Linked DNA regions of Drosophila melanogaster. The protein of the gene in region 1 interacts with the protein of each later gene in a pairwise test. Each region holds a gene or a part of one and is shown in the gene's direction. Other genes may lie near its edges. The genes, in order: CG5687 and CG15818.

Evidence for each region.
Region 2: the proteins of CG5687 (region 1) and CG15818 interact in a two-hybrid assay, tested with the Drosophila melanogaster proteins (one large-scale study listed by BioGRID).

What each region holds. Positions count from the first base shown.
Region 1 is NT_037436.4:1,929,905-1,942,194, reverse strand, and holds CG5687 (uncharacterized protein), read left to right. Parts: upstream 1-3,091; 5' UTR 3,092-3,601; coding exon of another isoform or gene 3,602-3,697; 5' UTR 3,698-3,754; intron 3,755-5,813; 5' UTR 5,814-5,914; coding exon 5,915-6,583; intron 6,584-6,645; coding exon 6,646-6,807; intron 6,808-6,865; coding exon 6,866-6,981; intron 6,982-7,035; coding exon 7,036-7,395; intron 7,396-7,461; coding exon 7,462-7,923; intron 7,924-7,980; coding exon 7,981-8,263; 3' UTR 8,264-8,562; downstream 8,563-12,290. Other genes in the region: Mfap1 (Microfibril-associated protein 1), read right to left, coding at 1-879, 941-1,019; CG46523 (uncharacterized protein), read left to right, coding at 3,602-3,697; Dbx, read right to left, coding at 8,747-9,541.
Region 2 is NT_033779.5:7,408,647-7,420,936, forward strand, and holds CG15818 (uncharacterized protein), read left to right. Parts: upstream 1-2,262; 5' UTR 2,263-2,308; coding exon 2,309-3,160; 3' UTR 3,161-3,583; downstream 3,584-12,290. Other genes in the region: CG5181 (uncharacterized protein), read right to left, coding at 381-863, 927-1,058; chm (chameau), read left to right, coding at 3,861-4,662, 4,736-5,361, 5,428-5,585, 5,646-6,018, 8,727-8,832.

The sequences.
Region 1 (12,290 bases):
GCAGCTTCCAGGCCTCGTATTCCACCTCGTCGTTTTCGTCGTCCGTGCACACGTCCTCGATGCAGGCCTCATTGGTCTCCGGCTTGGTCTTCTCCAGATCTTTCTTGACGCTCTCCTCGACCATTCGCAGGGTGGCTCTTCTGCGCTCCTTGGCTGCCCGCTTGGCCTCCGCCTCCAGCTGCTTCTGCTTCTGAGCCTCTCGCTCCTTCTCCTGGATGGTGGCACGATCTCTCTTTCGGACGAAGAGCGGCTTCAGGCGGGGTTCGTTGTCCTCCTCGCTTTCGGTCTCCTCCTCGTACTCGGAGCTTTCTGATTCGGACGATTCCGACTGTTTCTCATCCTCTTTCTGTAGAACCTCCTCCTCGCGCTGCTGCTGCAGCATGCGGGATCTCAGCTTGGTGCGCCGGTTCTCCAGCTCTGTGTCGCTGAGCTCCGCATCCGTGTCGGATTCGGATGCCAGTGTGATCTTATTGGTGCCCCGCTGAATCGCTCCCTGTGCTCCCTCGTCTTCCTCCTCGTCTTCGCTGTCACTCTCCATGATTTCCGGTTCGTGGATGTGTCGGTGGCGTTCCCTCCGCTCACGTTCCATGTCCTCCATGTCTACGGGTCGCTGCCGCAATCTTCGGAGGCGTGGATCGTCCACCTCGGCATCGTCCTCCTCCTGGCCCTCACCCGCCGCCCGCTCTTCGCCCTCCGCGCTGCCGCCTTGACGGGAGAGCTCCAGCTTATGCCGTTCCGCCTTGTGGCGCTCAAGGCGCTTCCTGGTGTCAATGAAGTCATCGTCGTCGCTCTCCTCCGAACTGGAGTCCGCACGGGCGTAGTCGGGTCGCTTACCGGATATGTATCGCTGCACCTTCACCTTTTGCATGGACAATTCACCTATTGAAGAGATATGCAGCTTATAAACAATTTCTGGTGAGGATCGAGCTTCGCTGTTTACCTTTCTCATTGCGCATGGGAATGGCGCCCGCTGTGCTCTGGATCCCAGAAGCGGCGGCGGCGGCGGTGGCTGCACTCATCGTGGTTTTAACTTATAATCCACGGGTAATAAGCAAATCTTTGTATTTATTCCTTGTAAATATTTCCTAAATAAAAGTATGGTAAATTAGAGATGGACAAAAGTATCTGAAAATAATCGATACTTTGCTTACAAATATTATCGATGCCTATGCAGCTCAGCAAAACCAGAGTGGCAACGCTATCGAACAAGGCCCGCAATTTGAAATATTAAGAAAGTTTTACTACATATATATGGTGAATATTGAATTGCAATGACGGAAGTGCGATGACTTCGCAAAGCCAGAATTAAGGCCAGCAACTAATTGAGACATTCGATAATTGAAAATATTAATACACAGAAAGAAATGGAGCAATTTATTGTTAGACAACTATATATTGGAAAAAACTATTGAAAGTAAGAAATTCATTTTCATTTAAGCTTTTTTGGATTGCAAAAAATTTAAACATATATATTGGGTTCCTTGGTGAAAAGGAAAATGTTCTTTTCTGTGCTGTTTTTATAAACAAGTGTTTTAGCAATGTCAACGCCCACTCTCATTAGTAAATTAATTGACTACTACGCTTTCTCCAATTCCCATACGATGGATAGAGGGAGGACGGAGGAGGGGTGCTTGATCTTGTGTAATGCCGGAATCGAATCCAAAATTCTTTTTATTGGTATTGCGTATTTTCAGTTTCGACAGCACGCAGCCAGCACGTGTGAAGATTGTCTTGTAATGTTTGAAAAACCGTTCGGATCTGATGTGATGTGATTTGATACCCACCCAACCGGACCAAAGTCCGAAAGAACCACTTGGCGGACGAGGGGCTCGACCAGTTTTGTGACGTCTTCGGCCACTTGCATCCGAGGAACAGAGTTAGCTGGATTTGCTTTGGATATGGATGGGGATGGGGATTTGGAATGGAATGGAATTGGAATGGCATGGGATGGGATCGTTTCGGGCCTAAACACCGAGACGCATTTGCCGAACTGCTTTTAACTGCTTTTCGTCGGCTGAGGTAGTTGAATGGCCAAGATTTACATGAGACTGTTAGTTAACGACATGGCGGGCATATTTAATTAATGCAACACGCTTCATGCTTAAGTGCATATCTGCCTAGCTAACTCACTGACCTTTAGAAAAATGGGCGTCGATTTGGTGACTTTCCGCTTGGGGGGAAGTACCTGCTGAATATTTGGAGACCCCCTTTCTTTTTGCCACTACATACTAGATATGTACATACATTTTACATTTATCAATTTATTGCGATTTGAACTCTTTTTGAACTGACCGGCGCCGTTTCAGTTCAAATTTAAATTCAAACTGGGAATACATTTCAATTAGAATTAAACACCCACACTGGCGCACAGGAATTGTAAACAAATAATTTTCTATTAGCGGGAGAAAGAGTGTCATTCCTGATCAAAATCGTACCAGATCGAACTCGTTATCGTTATCCAAGTAAAACACCACATAGCCAGCAATTGAGGCGAGGCGACAAGTGTACAAAAAACGAAAGATATAATCGTTTCCATTATTAATTGGCGCACTTTTTGCCTTTGTGACTCGAGTTACTTAAAAAGTAATAAAGGGTGAGACAAATGGAAATATTTACACATCACGCAATCCCAAACTGGCCAAGAACCAGCAATTAAACTTTTATGTTTGTTTACAGCGCATTTCACTTGGCTCAACTTGCCACAATTAACAATCGCCATCGAGGGATATGCAAAGGAGTTGGAAAATACCGGATATTTTCCGGCCATTCGTGGAGCGTCTTCTGCAGAATTGAAAATGAATCTTCGCATATGAATCAGAGCGTTTCAATTCCCTGAAATTAATTGATAGCAATTTAGGAAACGGTTTGGCAAACATTTATACACGATTTTCAATTAAACGTTTCCTCAAGCTTATTTTACTTATACCCATCATATTTTTATATACATTTACTTAATACCTACATACCTACCTGATTATAAGTTTCCTATCATTTTCTCAATCTACTAACCTTTTAATTTAAAGTTATATAATATTACATTAATAAACATTTAATATTTAATATCTGTTTCATTTATAGTATGAACCATAATGTCTTTGGTTTTATTTTTTAAAATAGGCTTAGTGCCCAGAGTCTGTTGAAAATAAGTTGCCTATATCTTAGCACTCCACACGACCATTGGCTGGCGATCGAGTTTCCCTCTCCGTGGAGATCGGCGATATCATATCCGGCGACGCTTCGCCTGCTCTTAGATCGATTTTCTCTCTTCTTCGCTTTTCAGACCCCAAAGAGATCTCGATGTGGTGGGGTTCCCGAAGCTGAAGCTGGGAGCCCGAGATCTGAGATCCGAGGCCTGAGATCCGAGATCTGTGATTTGCCTGCGCCGCCTTGGGTGTTGTATAAAATAGCGTAACGGCCGCTTGCAAAACTCATTCATTTAAAAATTGTCAATACGTTCGAACAGCGATCGACGACGAGCTGGGAAAAAAGGGAAACAACTAGTGCTCGAAGTGAAAAAAAAACTACGGCAAGGACTCGGCTCGAGGAACCAAATCCAAACAGTGATCAGTTTCATTTTGTGACTAACTAAGAAAACACGTTAATGAAATACAGAAACAATCGTGGCACAATATTGCAAATCCAGTTCAGAACATTTCTAAGATACAGTGCAGCAAACCTAATTCCATTTGAGAGCTAAACGAAGACGACAACCGAAGGATATCGAATTTGACGAATTGAAAAATTACTAACCAAGGTGAGAAGTTGTTCAGTTTTTCAGTGAAAGCGGCAATGCATGCCAGTGAGTTATTTCGAAATTTATCATACCGATTGTCACTGATAATTGGTAGTTGCAAAATATCTCAGAACATCAGAATAGTAAAAAGCATTAGCCCAAAGGAAATTTATTCCAATTACTCATGACTAACTAAAACTAGAGTAAAAAGTTGCGAGGGCAAAAACAATTTGTAAAATGCATTTGTCGAACAAGCTAATAAAGCTGAAAGTATTTATACCCATTCCGAAGGCATTTTAATATTTTGTCGCTTGTGTTACTTCACTCTGTTTTTTAGCTGGCTAATCTCGCCAGTTTTGAACTAGGTAATGTTTGCAGCTGTCGTGGCCGTGGAAAATCTCCTTGCTTGCGATTGGTATCTTCTGCCAACTTGTCAAGCGGACTATTTTGTTTAAATTAATTATAATAGAATAGAAGCGAGTTCGCCCAGACGAGATAAAAAAAAAGCCGAGGAAAGCAAAACAAAACACGCATATTAATTGGGCTCGAAGACGATGATGATGCCATTTAATGGAAGCGAAGGGCCTTTGGAATGGGCTGGGCGAAAGTCCACCAATTAAGCCAGACGCCTGTCCTCAACCAGAGCCCACAATTCATTTGACCCGTGTGTTCCTCCACCAAGGAAAACGGGTTTCACCCCAAACACAAATAGCCAACAAACAAATGAGCAATAAATATGATTTCGTAGTTTAGATTACTCAAATCAGAAGTTTGTAAACTTGAATAAAATATTCTACGATGAGCTAGAAACTAGAAGGAGCCTAGACCATTCCTTACTGGTATTTTCTCTCTGTGCATCTGGACATCTCTCTTGTGGTCGGGCCTTTTGCTCTTAGTTTCCGGCCTTGCCTTCGGAGACTTGGAAGCTGCTCTTCGAAGATTCGCCGAGCGATGGCGAATTTCTGGCCCAAACCGGCGCAATCCGGCTCAGTCCAATGGCCACCGATCTAAACCAGTTGAATTCGCTTAAATCTCGATTGGCGCGCTCGCACTCCCCATTTTCGCTCAAACATTGTAGCCCAATCTATTCGCCATTCAGGCCATATGGTGCATACATGTCCATGTCGCACAGGAGCAGCTTTTCTCAAATGGTTTGATTGGCCGGAAAAGTGGGCGGGGGCAGTAGAGGCGCCAGGAGGAGTGAGGAGGCGCCATGGCTTCTGGTCTCATCAAGAATAATTGTCGAGTGTTGGGGATCAATTGAATGGGGGAAGTGATTGCCATCGTTGATCAGTTGCAGAATGTGTGTTTTATGATTTAACAATTAAGAGGAGACGGAGGAGGCATGTGTAATAAATTTAAGTTACTCAAAAGATAAGGCTTGTGTAATGAATTCAAATACTTGACAATTAAAACGACAAGTAATTGCATAAATCAGCAAGGAAATTGAAATATATTAAAAAAGTTTGTTACACATCGAGTAGCATTATGCAATGAAATACATCCTAGAATTGGCGTGAAATAAAATCAAATATCTTAACAAATTCCTTACCACTTGCAAGCCGTGCGATTTCTTTTGGCCAGAAATAACCAGTTTGAATAAATCAACGACCAGTTTGAGGCAGCTTTCTGCTGGGCCTTCTTGCTCATCGCCCGTCCACTTGTAACCCCAAAAGAGCCATAACTCTGGATCTGGGAATCCGAAATCCACAATCCGAAAAAGAAATATCACCCAAAAAAAAAAAAAAAGAAGAGCGTTGCCTTGACTGCCGCCCCATGAAGAAAACATATTAATCATAAAGCAATTACGCTCAAATGGAATTGTTTGTATAAGGAAATAATGTATTTGTACTTGAACATGAGACGCTGGCCAATGGTCGATGGCCTCCCCTCCTCCGGATCCAGAGCCGCAGATCCAGATCGTTTGGTTAATTAATTAATGGGCCCCAAGATGACACCAAGTGTGACACCCACGGTGCGATGGTGCTTTGTAATGCCGCCTCGTTGCAATTCCTCTTTGCGAACCTTGATCTTGCCAGTGATCCAAGTCTAAATCGCTTCCGATCCGATCTCGTTTCAGTTTGCGCACACGTCGCCGGGTGGAAAGTCGGCTGGAGAAAGTGATCTCCCGGAAATCGCCATCCTTCGATCCCCATCCTTAGTCCTTGCTCGTGATCCAGGATGTTCGCCACCCAGGACACCATTCTGAAGTTGCTGACCCTGTGCGCCCTGGCACATTCTATAACCGCATTGGCCCTGCAGGAACGGTCTCCGACTCCAGGAGGATCTGCTCCCTTGGATTCCAGCCACAAGTACTTGATAGTGCGCGGTGAGTCGCCCAGTGAATCCCAGGAGCATGTGGAGTTCGATAATGCCGCCACCCTGCTCCTGAGAGCCTTCAAGAATCAACAGATTCCCGCATCCGCGGAGCTGGAGGAATGCAGTGCGCCCAGTCACAAGGCCACCTTCTCGGGCTACGACTACGTGATTCTGCTGGGCATGCTGGTCATCTCGCTGGGCATCGGCATCTTCTATGGCTTCTTCCAGAAGGGCGGCAGCTCGTCCAACGAGTTCCTGCTGGGCTCCGAGATGAGCATCTTCCCGGTGACACTCAGTCTCACGACCAGCTTCATCACGGCCATCGAACTGCTGGGAAATCCATCCGAGATGTACTTCCAGGGCACCCAGTTTGTGCTCATCGTAATACCCATGGTGATTGTCATTCCGGTTGCTGTGAAGATCTTCTATCCCATTTACTTTAAAATGGAGCTCACCAGCTGCTATGAGTATCTGGGCATTCGGTTTGGCAAGGAGATCAGGATTCTGGGTGCAGTGCTCTATGTCATTCAGGTGGGTTCTGGGATTTAACTCGAAAATGAATGAGATTTATATATAGACTCCTTCTCCTTCAGATGTGCTTCTACACGGCTGTGGCAGTCCTGGCACCGGCAATTGCTCTGTCTAAGGCCACGGGACTGGACACCAAAATCGCCGTGGTCCTGATCTATGTGGTCTGCGTTTTCTACTCCTCACAGGGAGGCATGAAGGCTGTAGTCATTGCCGACTCCTTCCAGGTGAGTAACGAGATGGTGGAACTCATCAATACGAGAAGATATATCTAAATCCTTTTAGGCTGCTGTCCTGGCTGTATCCTTGGTACTGATCGTGGGCTTGGGCTGCTTCTACAGTGGCAATCCCATCCAGGTCTTTCAGACTGCTTCCGATCACAATCGCTTGGAGTTCTTCAAGTGAGTTAAGCCAAATGAATCCAAGGACCTTAACAATTCTGGTTAATTCTGCAGCATGGATCCCGATCCCACAACACGTCACACCGTCTGGTCGGTGGTCATTGGTGGCTTTTTCTACTGGACCTCGCTGTTCTGCACCAACCAGGCGTCCGTTCAGAAATGCATGTCCTTGAAGTCCTTGAGGCTAGCCAAGATTGCTCTGGGCTTTGCCATTATCGGCTTAATTGTGGTCTTCCTGCTGAACTTCTACACGGGTCTGATGGTCTTCACCCACTATGCGGACTGCGATCCCTTGACTGCTGGACGCATTTCAGCCACGGATCAGTTGTTGCCCTACTACGTGATTAATACCTACGAGCATATTAGCTCCGTGGCGGGAATCTTTGTGGCTGGCATCTTTGCTGCCAGTTTGGGGTGAGCTCTTAAACTCCAGAACAGCTTATGGAAGTCTTATTCAAAGTTTTTCCTTCTCAAAAACAGCACCGTGGCCTCTGCCTTGAACTCCCTGTCCGCTGTGACCTGCGAAGATCTGCTGGTCAATGGCATGAACATCAAAATCTCTCCGGAGAAGGGAGCCACCTATGCCAAGTGGATGTCCCTGGGCTTTGGCATTGCCTCCTTCGGCTTGGTCTTCATCGTGGAGCACCTGGGAGGAGTTCTGCAGGCCACGCTTACCCTCAATGGACTGATTGGTGGTGTCACCCTCGGTCTCTTCGTGCTGGGAATCGCCTGCAAACAGGCCAATACCAAGGGCGCCTTCTACGGAGGACTCTTGTCCCTGGCCCTGGTCATATTTGTGGGCGTGGTTGCCCAAATTGTGAGCGTGGAGCAGCCCGCATTGCCCACATCCATCGACAAATGCGACTGCCATGTGAACATGACGAACATCATTGGCAGCTTGCTAACAGAACCTTTGGAAGTCATTGAGGAGGGGGGATTCACGTAAGATAACATCTTAGGTACTAGATATATATATTTTACTTAACCCAGAAATTACAGATCTTGGCCCATTTTCCGGCTGAGCTACATGTGGTACAGCATGATCGGCTGCCTACTCACCGTTTTCCTGGGCTGGTTCATTTCGCTGATCATTGACTTTATCCAGCGACGCAATGTGCTGAAGATCACCGGCAAGGACATCGACAATCCCGCCGTGTCGGAGGAGATCTTCAAGAGCGACTCCCAGGTGCAGTACACCACCACGACGGTGATTGGCGATCCGCGAGAGCTCACAAGTGACGAGGGCCATGTGAACCATGCCATTCGCATTGACGACGAATAGAACTCGAAGCCAAAACTCGAACTCTGGCGGGGATCGACGCTCCCCACCGGCCAATTCCTTGTGTAACCTCCATGTAACCTCCATGTACAAAGACCAGTCGCAATCTGTTAACTGTCCTAGTTTAGTCGAAAGAGTGATTTCTAGTTCTTAAGTCCCAGCCGAGGTTGTTGGCTCAGTATTCTGTACACACACTTACTAATGTTACTACGAAATGATTTTATGTTTAGTTCGTTTTAAGACACCTAATAAAACCTATATATACATATATATTCCTAATCAGCGTTGATTGCTGAAATGTCAAGTGATCTTTGCATTAGTATTGGCATTATGATTTTCAAAGGAGTTTATTTCGTTTTGGAATTTAAATTCGAAAAAATATCATACACATATTAAATACAATAAGTTGAATGCATCAATAAATTTACAATTAAAACATATATGTACACGGACCGTTGCAGCTCCATCTTCGCCTCCAGTCGCAAATCACGTCACGCTGATCTCCTCGTCACTGTCCGAGTTGGAGTCGTCGTAGTCATCGTAGTAGAGTTTCATGAACTCGGAGCCACCTTGGTGCTGCTGCTGCGCATGCTGCTGCTGTGCGTGCTGCTGCTGTTGCTGTTGCTGCTGCTGCTGGTGATGATGATGCAGTTGCGCAGCCGCGGCTGCGGCGGCCAGCTCTACCTCCCGCATGGCACTGAAGTGTGGGGAGTGATGCAGCTGCTGCTGCAGTTGCTCGAACCGGCGCTGCTTGGCCTCTTGGATACTGTTCTCCAGCTTGAATTTCAGATCGGCGGCCACCAGCTGCTTCTGCATCTCGGCATTGATCTTGGCCTGAAACTCGGAGGCAGTTACACCGGGCGGCGAGGCGGCGGCGGATGACACCGTTGTGCCCGGCAGCGGAGTGGGCGTGGCCGACGCCGATTGATCGCCCATTTTGAGGCTAGTGAGGAGCGGAGGCGGCGAGCTAATCTGGAGGCCATAGCCCACGGAGGGGGAGCTCCGGCTGCTGACGGATTGCGGTGACTTGGGCGTGACAGCTGCCGTTGGCGGTTCATCCTTGGCCACCGCTCCCGGCGGTGGGGGCGTGGCACTCCCATTGGGCGAGAGCAGGGATGGCGAGAGTGGCGTCAGCGGACGATCGCATTTGGCATCGCTCAAATCAGGATTTGGGTTATTCTTGTTGGGCAGCGTTTGGTCGCGGGAACCGCCGCTGGCGAGGAGCTCCCGCTCCTTGGAGTTCCGCCACTTCATGCGCCGGTTTTGAAACCAAATTTTCACCTGCAAATGAAGGGCATAAATGGGTTTGAGAAAAACACGCTGGAGTTGCATTGAAATGGGTAAATTGCGACTGTCCGGTGGATGGAAAGCTGTCTGGAGCAGCAGAGCTGGGATGACTATAGATCTGGAACTTTTCATGGCCGTCGAGTCGTATGAGTGGTGTGGGTATCGAATTCCGCTTTTGGGAAAACAAACTTCTGTCGGCTATCCGACGAAAACTTTTCTGTGGCAAATTGAATCTCGCAGAGAACCCATAGATATCTGTCCGTCACCACCCCATTGGGGCGGGTCGTGTGTGGGGGCGTGGCCATGGACCGGCCAGAAGTTTGAACTGCACTGCCATCGCCAGACGACGGGCATATCCATAATAAATGCAAATAAGAGACATTTACCCAAAGCGGCTACAAATTGATTAGAGGCCGCACAGTGGTGCAAAATCAGTTGGTTTCAGTCAACAATCCGTTCTTCTCTTAAATATATTTAAACTATCTTGATGAGAAATAAATAATTTTATGCATACTTTTATATCACATCATATACATCACCCTTTTGAAATCCCAATACTTGAAGTGCCCTAACATAATCTACATTTGATATTTATTTATTTATGTATACTCCATCCACAGTGCAGGCTGCAAAGTTGGTCCAGCAAAAATGCTGTAAGTCCTGGTAACTCACTTCCTGCTATCCTTCGGTGGAGGGCTTAGCTTCCTGCATTTGACAGGCTAGCTGGGACACTTGAAGCAGATTGCAGGACTCGCCGGGCAGAGTCCTTGGCCCACCGCTCCTCCATGAGCTGTATTTGAGTTATTGTGCAGTCCGGCCCCCCCCCCCCCCACTCCGTCACCCGCCTCCTTGTGAGTCTGCGACACAGCAGGACATTCGCACTTTGTAGCCAGGCACAACAATTTGCAACAATTTATGGGAGACCCACTCCACGGCGGTAATTAGATTGTGACTTGATGTGAATTTTAAAGCAAATTGATGCGTAAAATGGGTGGGAGCCCCCTCAATTAGACTAAAGCTCTGGCATTTATAAATAAATAAGTAAACAACGGCCATGAAAAGCCGCTGACATGTTGAACAACCGATTAACCGCAGAGATTCCTTGGAAACACCCAACTCCCAGTGGCACGTGCCTGATTTTGGGCGCTCTGTTGGCTTCTCGGTTTGCTGTTTCGCTTACTTCCGGTCATCGAGTTTTTCAACGTCTGTGCGGTGGAAAGCCAGATTTTCCCATTTTCCACCACCCCGGCAGCAATTGAAATAATAAGCTCAGGCGGCGATAAGATTAATGATTATGGCTCCGGCCGAAAGTCAGTAGTTTAATGAGGGAGGAATAGAACTTTGGGACCACCCTGGACCACCGTCATCATCTTGTCATCGTCTGTTTCTGATGGAAATTAATTATAAAGCGTGCAGTTTAGTGTGCCAAGGAGAGGCGTCTGGACATTTCCGCTCCTTGTTCAGTTGTTGTTCCTCGATGAGCTGGTAGCGCTCCAGGTTTGCATTGCAGAAAATCCCTGATAAAGAATCCGTTTCGGATATTATAGAATTATCAACTGCACTCGATAGACCCCCAAATGAGCCGCGTTTAGTTTTGCGATGTTAGTCCGGCTTGTTAACAAATATTGGCCATGTAACGAGTTCCCCTCCCCCCCCCCTTACCACATCCACTAACTTTAAGCCCGCAATTACTGTCTAACACAAAAATATTCGCTTCATTTTTCGCCGCTCATATAATAATTAAATTTATGCAAATATCTGTGCCAGGCGACAAATACTAAAATTCAATTGTTGTGAATAGCAATTAGCGGATTCGCATAGATTCGCTGGTTTGTTGTATGTAGTATATTGTATTAAATTGTTTTGGAATAAGATAGGATATTATTGTCATGTCATCATTTTAATAGCTGGTTGATTTAGCGTGTTAGCAGTATAAATTTAAAACAATTTTGTGAATCAGAAGTTGAATGGAATGTTGCAAATTAGAATGCAGTTAAAATTATATATGTTGTATTATTTGTGTTCTCAAAATCCTGGAGACTCCGGATTCATACTCCCTGGAGTAACTTCTGGACTTCATCCCAAATAAAGTTCTTAAGCACCCATCTCATTTCGAAGTCCTGCTAAACGTTTTGCCACTTTGTTAAGACCCGACCTCTCAATACAATTCTCTCCCCAAGGAAGTTGGGCCCATTCCATTGACAGTAAGCCAAAACGATAAGTAACATATTTTTCTGACACGCTGCCAGCATAACGCGCATGGAATTCGTTTGAAGTTTTTATAAACCACCCAAAGGAGTCGGGCGGTAAGAGGGCTACAAATTGCTCCCTTCCGCCGAACTTTCCTACCTCCCCTCGCTACACTTCTTTTTTTTTTTTTGTGCCGAAAATTGACTTTGGGCAATGAGCACAAGCTGTTGTTTTTGTGGGGGAGTCTCGAGTCCCGTATCCCGAATCCCGAATCCTGACTTCGGCAACATATGTTAACTAATGAGGCTGGATGACGGGGATGGTCCATATACATATATATATATATAGAATATATATTCCAGCCAGGAGCAGGCTGTCAACCCATTTGGCCACCGAGGATGTCATTCGATATGCTGCGTAATAGCGTATTAAATAGTCTGCTACTATTTGCGAAAGTCATTCCGGCGGCAGTTGGCAGTGCGTTTTGGGTTACTGACCACGGTCCATTTCCATTGCCCATTTCCTCCCCTTTTTGTGGTTATTGTTTCAGGAG
Region 2 (12,290 bases), on another chromosome or scaffold:
TTCTATCTGCATCTTAAAAGCTTTACTACATTTAGGCTAGATTAACTTTAAATTTCGTTTTTAGTAATCTGATTTCCTTATTTTGAAAAATAGTACTATATTCAATATCTTTTTTAATGCTTAAATAGTTCGACGAAAACATGCTCACTTTTTGCTTTTAAAAGATGCAATTAAGTTTTAAAATACATATATAATTGAATGGTTAACTGATACTCATAAATGCAGACCTATTACGTAAATTTTAAAGCCCAAATAGTCTAGATAACATACCAAATCCAGGTCCGATCATTTGGGATGTGTAAACATGTCTTATTAAGCTATGCATTACTGTAGAGGTTTAATTCTTGATCGCTAAGTGCTATCCCGCGTCTGTAGACCATTTAACGCCGTTCCCCCTTAAGGCCACCTCGTCCTCCACCTCCACGGCCGCCACGGGTGCCAGGTTTCGTTGTCGTTTGGGGTGCGATTGCTGGCGCCGCAGCAGGAGCTGTGGTCACGGCGCTCTGGGTGGCGGGAGCACCTGGTGCAGCAGCCACCGCGGGCTGTGGAATGCCCGTGGCACCACCCTTAGCGGGCAAGCCAGGAGCACCACCACCGGCCGGAAGTCCCGCCGGAGTAGCAGCAGGATTTGCCACCGCCTGCTGCTCCGCCCGTTTCGGTTCACTCATATTGACGCTCTCGTTGAAGACCATGCAGTACTCGCCGATCTTGAACACCTCGCCGTTCTTTCCGGAATAAAGGGTCAGACAATGCCTCCAGATGGAGGCGTAGCCCTTTGTCAGTCTGACAATATCACCGGGTGCTATCAGTTTGCCCGGCTCGTCCCAAATCGAAACATTGATGCAGGCCGTAGGATCGCCCACCTTATAAACATTGTTTTCACTATATTATTTGTTTTTATGTGAATAATGCAACGATGGACCCACCTTGAAGTTCCTCACTTCGCGGTTTTCTTTTGTAACGGTGGCCACGCCCACTTCCAGGACAATAAAGATAACATTGATGTTCTTCAGACCCGGCTTTATGTCCTTAATAGGAATGCATTCCACGTTATACATTGCAGAATGAGCAAGAGTTTTTAAAAAGTACAAAAATGATTTGTTTTGTTTTGGCGTAGTGCAGCGTTGCCAGACGTTGAAACGGCTTTAGTGTGACCTCACCTAAGACAACCAAAAATACTTTAGTTTGCTTTGGAACTGATTATTCCAGTTGTTTCATCCAATTTTTTTTTAAATTTTATTTCTTACCATCTAATTTGAATTGTTATATATACATTTATTTTATTTATCGTTTAGTAAATTAAAAATATTAATTTTTTTTCTTGATCAATCATCTCATAATAAGTACAGCGAATGTTGAATAGATTCTATTTCAACGGAAGGATAACTTTATATTTACAAGCAAACATTACTTTATCAATTTTGTTAGTTCGTGATTAGAAACCCTATAAGTAATTCAAAAACTAACACACAAGCAACAAATTTAATTGTGGTCACTAAATTAGGGAACCACCCTAGATAAAAAAGCTTTATCATTTCCGGCAGATGTGAATCATTTTAAATTTCTACATATATCATTCTTCTGACTGTGCTAGCTTTCGATTATTTCAACATAGGGGCGTAGATAAAATCTACAATTAACCAGATAATTTAATTGGAAACCTCCAGAGCAGTTAAGTTCAATAAACCGGTGAAAGTGGGCACAAAAAAGAAATTCCTGGAAGAGCAAACAAGTTGACATTAATTAATCAAGTGATGATTATCTAACATTACAGCCGTTACTCGTAGAGAAAAAAAGTATACCTCATTCGTTGATGAATATGCAACAGGTAAATGGAATTCTCATTTCGGATCATTAGTTGATCTGGCCATTTCCGTTTGTGATTTTGGTTACCATAAAAGCTATAAAGATAAGATCGAGCGTGCAGATCCTATAAACGCAACGCAAGTTTGTTTCAGAAGATGGACACGCCCAATATATTTTGATTTTATTATTTAATTTGTTAAATTCTTTATATATACGCACTCCCGCTAGCTGAGTGATCTAATAGTGGAGGATATCGACTTTAGCGCTGATTTCAGAAATGAAGTATGTCATTAAGTTGAAGTACATATCTACTTTACTACCATACCATATTGACAACGCTTTACAAATAATGATAACTTATGATACCACATCAAATTTCTTGTGACAATTTTAATAAGAAGATCAAATATGCTTATCAACCATATTGCCGGGCCTTTAAAAAGAGAGCCAATTACTTCAGTATCAGTTCTTTATCAAGCTTCAACCTCAGTGGTTGTCCAAAATGTTTAGCTCTACGAGAATTATTTTGTGCGCATTTCTATTGCTGTATCCTTACGGATCCCTGATAGAAGCCCAGGAGGGCAGGCGCTATGTGTGTCTATTATCAGATCCTCCCAATCAGTGCAGTGAATATTGCGTATCCGCACTGCAGCCGGTCATCGATCACCTTTCGAAGGAGCAACAGGACTGGGGAGCCTGCGAGGTGAAACTTAATGGAAGCGTCGCGAAACTGGATAAGATCGAAGACCAGTTGACGGCGACACAAATCCAAATAGAAGCCCAGCAAGCATTCCTTGTGAACAACATTTCGAAGGCAATCAAAACCGAGGACCTTGAGCAAAAACTAAAGGATATCGAAGGCAATCAGACAGCGCTGAGTAATCAGTTGAAAGATGGACAGAAGAGGACGGAAAACCAGTTGACAGCCATCCAGAAGACTCTATCCGATATCGAAAGGAAACTCGTGCTGCAGAGATATCAACAGATAGGATCGAGATATTTCTACATCGAACACAACTTACAGGTGAACTGGAGGACCGCCGAGCAGAGGTGCATTGAAATGGGCGGCCACCTCGCAGCATTCCAAAATGCCGAGGAATACAACGCCATAGTGGGCCAATTGAACAAGGCGAACTACTGGCTGGGTGTCAACGATCTGGCCAAGCAGGGCGAGTTTATATCCTTGGCCTCCGGCAAACGAGCTACCTACTTCAAGTGGCGCAAAAATGAACCCAAATACAATAATCCTACCCAGCACTGCGCCTACGTTTTTGGGCACGAAAACATTATGATCGTTCTGTCCTGTACCACTGACGTTATGCATTTCATTTGCCAATCAGACAGTGATGTTTAGTTTTAAAGTATCAACACATGTATGAATGAATATTACAACAAAACCACAAATACTATAATTCACTTTACTGCATTTGATGCAAAAATTGATGGGAACATTTAATAACGCTTTTAGCAATAATTTTTCTTTGTGAGAGGGTTTAAGGGCAATTTTTTTTGACAACAAGTGATTGCCACAGATAGGAAATTATTTCGTTTCAAATTGTCAAAAAAGTCGACATGGCGCCGTAAATAAATTGGCTGAAATGAGTAATAGGCTTAAGAGATTGCTGTTATCGAATTTATTTTATTTGTTTTTCTGGTTTTGGTTCCCCGCACGTCGTAAATTAAGATTGATTCCTCGTTAAGATTATTAAATTTATCGTACTCGACAAGCACTCTTTATAAGCAACAAATGAATAAAGAAATTTTCGACTTTAATCACAAAAACTGGCTTATATCAATTTTAAAAACTCCTATTAAACAAGGCAATAAACTGTGTAGGTTCGTATTTCAATTAATATTTGCTAACTAAAATATTTTTGGAATACGATATTTTTGTGCCCTAGTTGCACATCTCTAGCATATTATAAGCCGATAGCTCCGGCCGATTCCCATGGCGTTCCGCTTGGCATCCACCTCTGGCCACTCTAATCAAAACAATACAGGAAAACAGGCATTTTTGTGTACAAATATTAAAAAAAACATTCTGCGCTACAAAAATGGCCTTGGAGTCCGGCAGCAGCAGCTCGGAGTCGGGCAGCTCATCCACAAGCGGATCCACCAGTTCGGAAACGGGCAGCAGCTCGGACACGGATTCCAGCAGTGCGACGCCGGAGGAGAAGCCATCCACGAATTCCTCCGCCAAATCCCAGACGCAAACACAACAACAAACTAATTCCGGAAATGCACAGAGAAGAAAGCCTGTTCCTGCGGCGTCGGAGGATAAACCCAAGCCGAGCGTAGCGCCATCTAGCAAAAAAGTAAACAATCCTCCCAAAAGTAAACTCTCCAGCGATGACGACGAATATGAGGACTCGGCGCCGCCGGCCAAAAAGAACTCACGTGCAATGGGCAGTTCCACTGTAACAGCGGCAGCTGCCGCCTCAGCAGCCAGGAGAAAACCACCCGCGTCCGTCAACAAGCCAAGCAATCCCGCTAACAAACCGAGCAATCCTACCCAGCGATCGGCCAACAACAACACAAATCGATCACTGGAGAACGGCGAGGGCAAGCGACCCTCGCTCTCCTCCTCGTCCAATAGCACAGATGACTCTATGAAGATCGTTAAAAACGGGCGGAAGGTTCCCCTCAAAATGGCCAGCACGGTGAGGCCCAAACAAATCCGAGGAAAATTGCCGCCGGCAAAGAAAAACGGCGGGGGACCGGTGATCAGCAGTGACGGAAGTTCGGGCTCCGAGAGTGGCTCCAACTCGGGCGACGAATCAAGTTCAGGAAGCGAGTCTGAGGGAAGTGATTCCAGCAACTCCTACAGCTCGCAGCCAGTAAAAGGAGGAGCTAAAGGTAGGCAGGGTATAAAGTATAGAATTTATGTAAGGATTTTAATAATATTTAAATTTAACTCTTATTATTATAGGTAAGAGAAGCGGACCAACAAAAATCCAAAACTCCGACAGCGAAGAAGAGCGAAAAGACAAGGCCAATCCCATGAGGAAACTGACGCGATCACTCAGCATGCGAAGGACAAAACAGCAACCCAAACAGGAAACCGATTCTGAATCCGATGGAGACCTAGAAGATGACAAAATTATGATCTCCAAAAGTCCCGCCAAAAAGCCAGCGCCCTCGAATTTGAACGCCAGCAAAAGCAAAGTGAAAAGGGAACCAATCGGAATCAGCAGTGGCGTGCTGAGCTCCATTAAATCCCGACCCGTGTCACCGATTACCCAGACTGAGAAGAAGTGTCCCATCGAGGGCTGCGATTCATCCGGACATCTGAGTGGCAATTTGGATAAGCACTTTTTGCCGGAGGCCTGTCCTATCTATCACAACATGTCCGCCTCGGAGTGCAAAGAGCGTGCCAATGAGAGAAAACTGAGGAATGAACAGCGACTAAAGATGCCGGTTAACATTGTGACGGCGCCGGGTAACCAAAACACCAATCTCAAGACGCTCTCGCCTGAGCAGCGCGAGTTTCTGGCCAAGATTCGCGAGTCAAGGGCTAACTTTAAGCCGGCGAATAACAATTTTTTAGACTCGAAGGTGAGGATAGTGGGTTAGCTTGAAAGTCCATATGAGACTATTGCTAACTATTTGATTACGCTTCAGGTAAAGCTGGAAAAAGACGTAACGGACGAGGACCGGGAACCAAATCTGGCAGGCCTGGTGCCTGACTATGATTTGCAATTGTTCCGGGAAGCGCAAGCTCAAGCATCCGAAAGGATCGAAGACGAACTCAAGGACCTGCCCGTGGGAAAGGGAATAAAGTAAGTAGTAGTAATATAACAAACTTATGGAGATCAATTTACAACCCTTACGTCTGACAGATATATCAGCATGGGCAAGTACAAGATGAAGGTCTGGTATCAATCCCCTTATCCGGACGATGCTGCCCGCCTGCCCAAAATGTATATCTGCGAATTCTGCCTGCGCTACCAAAAATCAGAGACGGGCATCAAGCGGCATGCCGAGAAATGCGTCTGGCGGCATCCGCCGGGCGATGAGATATACCGCAAGGGCAAACTACAGGTGTGGCAGGTGGACGGGAAACGTTATAAGCAATACTGTCAGCATCTGTGCCTGCTAGCAAAATTCTTTCTGGATCACAAAACCCTCTACTACGATGTGGAGCCCTTCCTTTTCTACATTATGACGCTGGCCGATGTGGATGGATGTCATATTGTTGGTTATTTTAGCAAGGTAAGTAAAGTATTTATTCGTAATGTATATTTTCTTTGGTAATTGTTAAAAACTGAATATGCTAATATGCTAATCAAACATCAAGCAGTTGAAATAACAAATCCACTTTGATTTTCCAGCTCATTGAATTATAAATTTTAAGTTAAATATAATTTTAAGTTGAGTTACATATTGAAGCAGTTAAAGTATCAAAATGAATATTTAATAAGGAGCTTAATAGAGGGCTTAACTACAAAAATTAATGCTTCCCTTTATTCCTAAGCAATTGGAAACCAAAGCGGAAAATCTGATCCTGCTCTAATGATTTCGATTCCTAATTGCTTATTATTTGAATAGTCGCGCTGCAATTGTGCGCCAGAATTTTCCAGAACCTTTATGGTTATTCCCCAGCATAAAATTGAATAATAACATTTTACAGTTTTATGATTCCTTTATGTCTGGAGACGGAATAGAGATGCGAGGAATGTAGAAGCCGGTATCCCAGACTCCCAGAATGGCAGCCACAGCCCATGTACGGTGCATACATATGTACCGTCAAGCAGACTATATGGTTGTATCCAGATGCAGACAGTGAGCTCTGCCTTGACCATGCCCACCAAAAACAGCAGATGATTTTTCCATTTAATTTTTTTGTCAACGTTTTCGGGTAAATAAGCAACAGACAGAGAGAAACAAGCGGCGCGAACGAGAGAGTCATTTCCCCTGGCTTTAAAAAGCAGCCACGGTTTCTTGACCTCCCACCAGAATGTACGGAAAATACGGGTCCGGCGATACATTCACGGGCTTTGGCGGGATCCCACCTTCGGTTTGCAGTTTTACTGCAGAATGCAGAAAGTTTTTGGGCGCTGGCAGAGACTGGGTTTGTGTTACAAATTGCGCATGTCGTTGGCTGATGCTGCAGCTGCTCCTCTTGCTCTCCTCCCGATTCACTGCCCCTGCTCCCGATGATGCCCCTCTTTGCAGCTCCTTTTGTGAACCCTCGCTGTGCTGGCGCAGCATCCCGAGGCAGTCAGAATTTGGCAGTTTCTACACATACTACAAGTTTACATATATTTACTACGCTCGTGCTAGGACATTCATAATTTCTTTACTACCAGGACACGAAATGTACGCCCATGAAAATGTTTAAAGAATGTATTTCAACGGAGATATTGAAACATTTTTAAGCATATCTAAGGAAGTTAAGAATTATATCGCTTGAATCATTTAAAATGTATTATTTTATATTTCGAAATCGCTTCCAAGAGTAACTTAGTATAACTATGGTAGTAAATTAGGATCAAAGCTATATTCCTATATCATGACATTGCATCTGCAAACTAGGCTGCGTATAAACTTGAGTGAAAACCCAACCCCCTTTTCGTTTGGCAGTGATAATTTTCGGCAATCCTTTGTCCCGCAGTTAACCTCCAACTCTCTGACTCCAAAACGGGGTCCAGACAGCAGCCAGACACCGAGGATTGGAGTAGGGAGACGGATTGGCAGGCTGGGCACGCTGCTCCGATGCTCGGATGCTGGGGACACGATTGAGGTCGTGCACCTCTGGGCCGGGTCCGGGAATTTCTGATTCTGATACTGCGTCTGCGCCTGCTCCACAAAACTGCGATTGCCCGGGCTGGGCCAGGAAAATCCGGGGTGAAGGATCTCGGGGTGTTGGCGGGGCGGGGGATCAGATTGGGAAACAGGGACTCCTCTGCTATGTGGTTGCGTTCCCAGACATCGGGGCAGACAAAGGAAAAACGAGCAAAAAAAAAAAAAGCAGACCTCAGAAAACAAAAAGCAGGCGTACTACAAAGGAAAAATCAAAATGAAAAACCCGCAGTGTACATAAATGAATTTCCGAATTGTTGCCATATTCCAGATTCAGCACACAGGACTTAAAATGTGGCCACTTAATGGAGTTTTAGCTGCTCTAATGATATTCTTTAATTTAAGAAAGTCTTGGATAATTTACCCGTATATCATTTATTATTTGAAAACTATTTTTCTAATGAGGACTAAACTTTCTATTAAAATTATTGTTACATGTGGTATTATCTCAATGATTTTCCACTGTGTTGGGATTGTTTTTTTGGCAATGACCGTGAGACAAGGGGGCTGGGCATGGCTATATCCATGTACGAGTCATTCTGTCTTGCGTATATATATCCCGATCCCCAGACTCGTGGTCCTTGTGCTCCTGCGGCAGCTATATATGTATGTATGTGCGTATGTTTATGTATTTACGCACAGTTCTCTCGCCAATTTGGCCATCTCTTTCACGCCGCTGCAGCCATCTCTGTCTGACTGTCTCTGGTGCTGGCTGTCTATCGATTCATTTAATTTTGCTGGTCATTGAACTGCCGAAAAAAGCCAAAAGCGACAGATAAATGTTGCCATCATCTCTGCCACTTGCAAGGGACCACCCCCCACCCCATTTCCCCTCATCTTTTGTCTGGAAAATGTCTGTCTGATCCCCCAACTCTGAAGTTTTTCGCCATACCTCTCTTCGTGGATTTTTCCCAACTCCAAGCTTCAGTTTCCCCACTCCTTTCACGTCTGCCATTGTTCTTGAACCTTTGTAATTGATTTAATTTTAATAATATGTTCGCTAACCTTTGCTTACTTTTAAGTGGATTAGTGAAAACCTTAAATTACCGCCTGCTCATGCCTGATTCGTTTTTATTTCTTATTTTCTAATCATTTCACACACTTTTCTATATTTGCAGCATATTCCTTTCCTGCAGGAGAAGAACTCGTTTTACAATGTTTCCTGTATTTTAACATTGCCGCCATATCAGCGAAAGGGTTACGGAAGATTACTCATCGATTTCAGTAAGTTAACACTTGAGATTCTACACAAAACTTAAGAATTGTTAATAAATGGGGATTTTCTTCCTCAGTTTACAACCATTCTGCAATCAAATGCATCGAACTCGTCTTACTATGATTCCAACGACCTTTATCTTGCTATATTGAATAATTCATATTTGATTTAATATGAAACCAATTAACAAAGTATAAGTTTCTCCCATGAATGCTCAAAATGCAATACTTTTTATCTGAAATATTTAATATTGTTCAGGGTGCTAGTTATAGTAATATGAAAGAACAAGGAACGAATATAATTGTTTCTTTCTTGTCAGCCGATTAAATGTATAATTGACCTCAAACTGCGAATTCTTCTGTGGTCTCTTCTGCGCAATTCTTTAACTGGAAGAACACAGTGACCCTGAAAATCATATGATATCAATTACGTTGGATTGAGTGGTTGGGATTCCACTGAAATTGGGCTTAAATGAGGCTTGTTAGTGAAAAAGTATATTGGCCACTAAAATTTGCTGTCCAAATTGAATCTTTCTTTGTTCCCCTTCTCCGACCTCTTTCGCTGAGTCATAAGTGTGTGTGTGTGGTGTGCAGGTGTGTGTGAAATATAATCATCATTGCATGAGAAAAGCCAAACATGAAGGAGACTATGGCTCAGCTTTCCAATTGCAGTTTTCCCCCACCATTGCATCCACTTCTTCTTCTTCTCCAGGTGCAGAACATGCAATTTCTGCATCAATTAAACGTAGACACACACAGGTGCACTGCATATCGCATAAGTAATTTTAGCGGCTGCAACGAAAATTGTTTAAAATTAATCCAAGCCCACAGACTAGACAATAAAAACACACACAACCCAAAAAAAGGTAGCTAAGTAAAAAATTATGAAAAAAGAATTACCCAGCTATAAAAGAGCGGAAGGTGGGGGGAAAAGACAAAGAGAGTCTTGAGTCATACATTTACATTCACAATCGACGTCGACAGCGACGGCGGCAGAGGCGGCGGCATTTGTGCCTATGTAAAGTCAATACATGCAATGCCAGGGGCGTGGAAGCTTGGTGTATTGGCCAGGGGGATTGGGCGGTAATGAACGAACGAAAGAGCGAGCGAAACGACATTGACCTTACACAGACACACGCGAAGGCCCACAGACACAAAGCCAAGTGCCGGCCGGCAAAAAGAGTAATGGTCAACCAGAGAGAGAGAGGGATCGTGAGAGGGAGAGGGAGAGGGAGAGGAAGTTTTGCGAAGAGAGCGAGTGAGGTGCACGGAAAATAATTGATTGATCTAATCTATCCCAGGAAAATCTGGTATAATTCTACTTTTTAATAAGAGCTTTGTTTTAGAGTTCGAATCGATTGTTTTATTGCTTAGGTCTTTGGTAAGAATATGATATTTCATGAGGTTATGTGGTAATCTCGGCTTATTATCAAGTGGTGAAGGTTTCACATTAAAATCTCTATTGATCCGTTAACTATCTTAAATTACTATCTTAATATTTTTTACTTTCATAATTAAATATATTTTTTATAAATTACCGTTTCCCAATTGAAAATTATTTTGTTGTATGTAGGAGCCGCGCGGGGCGGCGTGCAAATCATTTTCGTCATCATTAACTGGAATTGGTTATTTTGCACATGGCAGGTGGAAGGAATACTTGCAGACAGACAGGGGTTAACTTAACCCACCGGTCCCCCGAAAATCGAACAGATCTAGACATATGTGTTAGAGCGGTACGGCCATACACCATTTATGTATGTCCAGGTGTACAAAATGCACCACGCAAAATGCAAATGAGGGGGCCAAGTTTACAGGTTCCGAACAAGGGTTGCCACCTACTGCATTAATTAACGAAACTTTCTAAAAACCCACAAACAAAATTTACCCAAGTTGCCAAAAATATACGAAACGTGCCGCTTAAAGTTTGCTTTTATCTTTTGCAAGTCCCGCACAAGCAACATACCCACAAAAAGCACTTACAGTGCGAATTCTATAAAGTAAACTTCGACAATAAAATTTTATAAAGGTAATGAAAAATATCGTTCTTGAAGAATTAATCTTAAATATTTATCGGTGGCAGCTTAAAACAGTGCTTAGATCTAAAAAAAAAACCTTATAGCGTATAAGTATAAAAATAACATATTTGGATATGAATATGTTCTAGAAATAATTCAATCCTGATAGATATTGCTTGTCTGTTTATAGAAGCTTGACTGTGGATAAAATTTAGCAGACACAACAACACCAGAAGAGCAACAAAAACAACAACTGTTGGCGGCAGACAACAAAGGTCAGGACAGGTCACAATGAAAGGGCGTCGTCCTCTTTGCGAGCACAAAGAGCGAGTAACGGTTACTCTCTCTTTGTTTCATTCTCTCGCTGCTTATTACTCACTGCTTTTCAAACTCTGGTAGCTGCATAAAAAACAAGAAAAACGCATAGAAATAATAATAATTAGAGCCTTGCTAATTTGAGTTAAAGTTGAAGTCGCCGTCCCCTATTGCACATTTGCGTAAATTTTCATTCTTTAACTCATTACTGTTCGTTCGCAGCGCCTGTGGCTATGCAACAACAATGTTGCTGCGTCAGCGGCGAGTGTGCAAGTGCGAGCAAGAGCGAGAGCTCGACTCTGCGAATCAGAATGGATCGATAAAGTCGTCTCGACGTACTCACCCATACTCCCCCTTTCGCTCGCACCAACACCGCTTCCCCGTCTCGCTGCGCCAGGATTTATAACGCTGCGGTGTATTGGGAAGGGGCAAGAAGCGAGACGAAGTGCGGCACAAAGAAATCAAAGTGCCACCCGAAAACGCCCTCTTCTGGCCAAAAGTCGCATCAGAAGCTGGCCGAGGGGGCTTCCTCTCGAACTGCATAAAATACTGCGCACAGTGGGCCGAGATCAAAAGATTACTTACTAAACGATCATGTAATACTTATCCAATCTTTTTTGCGCTATACTAAGTAGTATATTAAAATTACATGCATTGCGGGTCTTTAAACAGGCCCTTCCGTTTAAAAATTGTAGTTATAAATTGAGTTTAAACTGGTTTTGATACCTAGGTTCCAATGTTCTTGGTCATGCAAAAAGCGAAGCGCTGCGTTTATTTTTGCCTGTGTGTGTTCAACCCTGCGCTAGTCCAGTCAGTCAGCAGGATTCTTCCTCCTGCCCCATGCTTTTTCCATCCTTCCCGTCTGCCTTCTCAGCTGTGTCTGCCATTGAGTGAGTCCTGCTCTCCCATTTTTCTCTCCCGTTGCTTCACAGCTGGCGCCATGGGTGCAGCAAGGGGAATACTTCCAAAAATATTAAGCTCTAGGAAATAAAAATCGCATTCACTGCATTAAGCATAAAGGATGCAAAAAATTTCTTTTTTTATTTTCCATCTTCCGCCTGCTTTTGGGCGTATCGACAACTATCGTATCTTACTACGCCCATGGTAATGCTCTCCTATCTCGCTCTGCTCCTATTT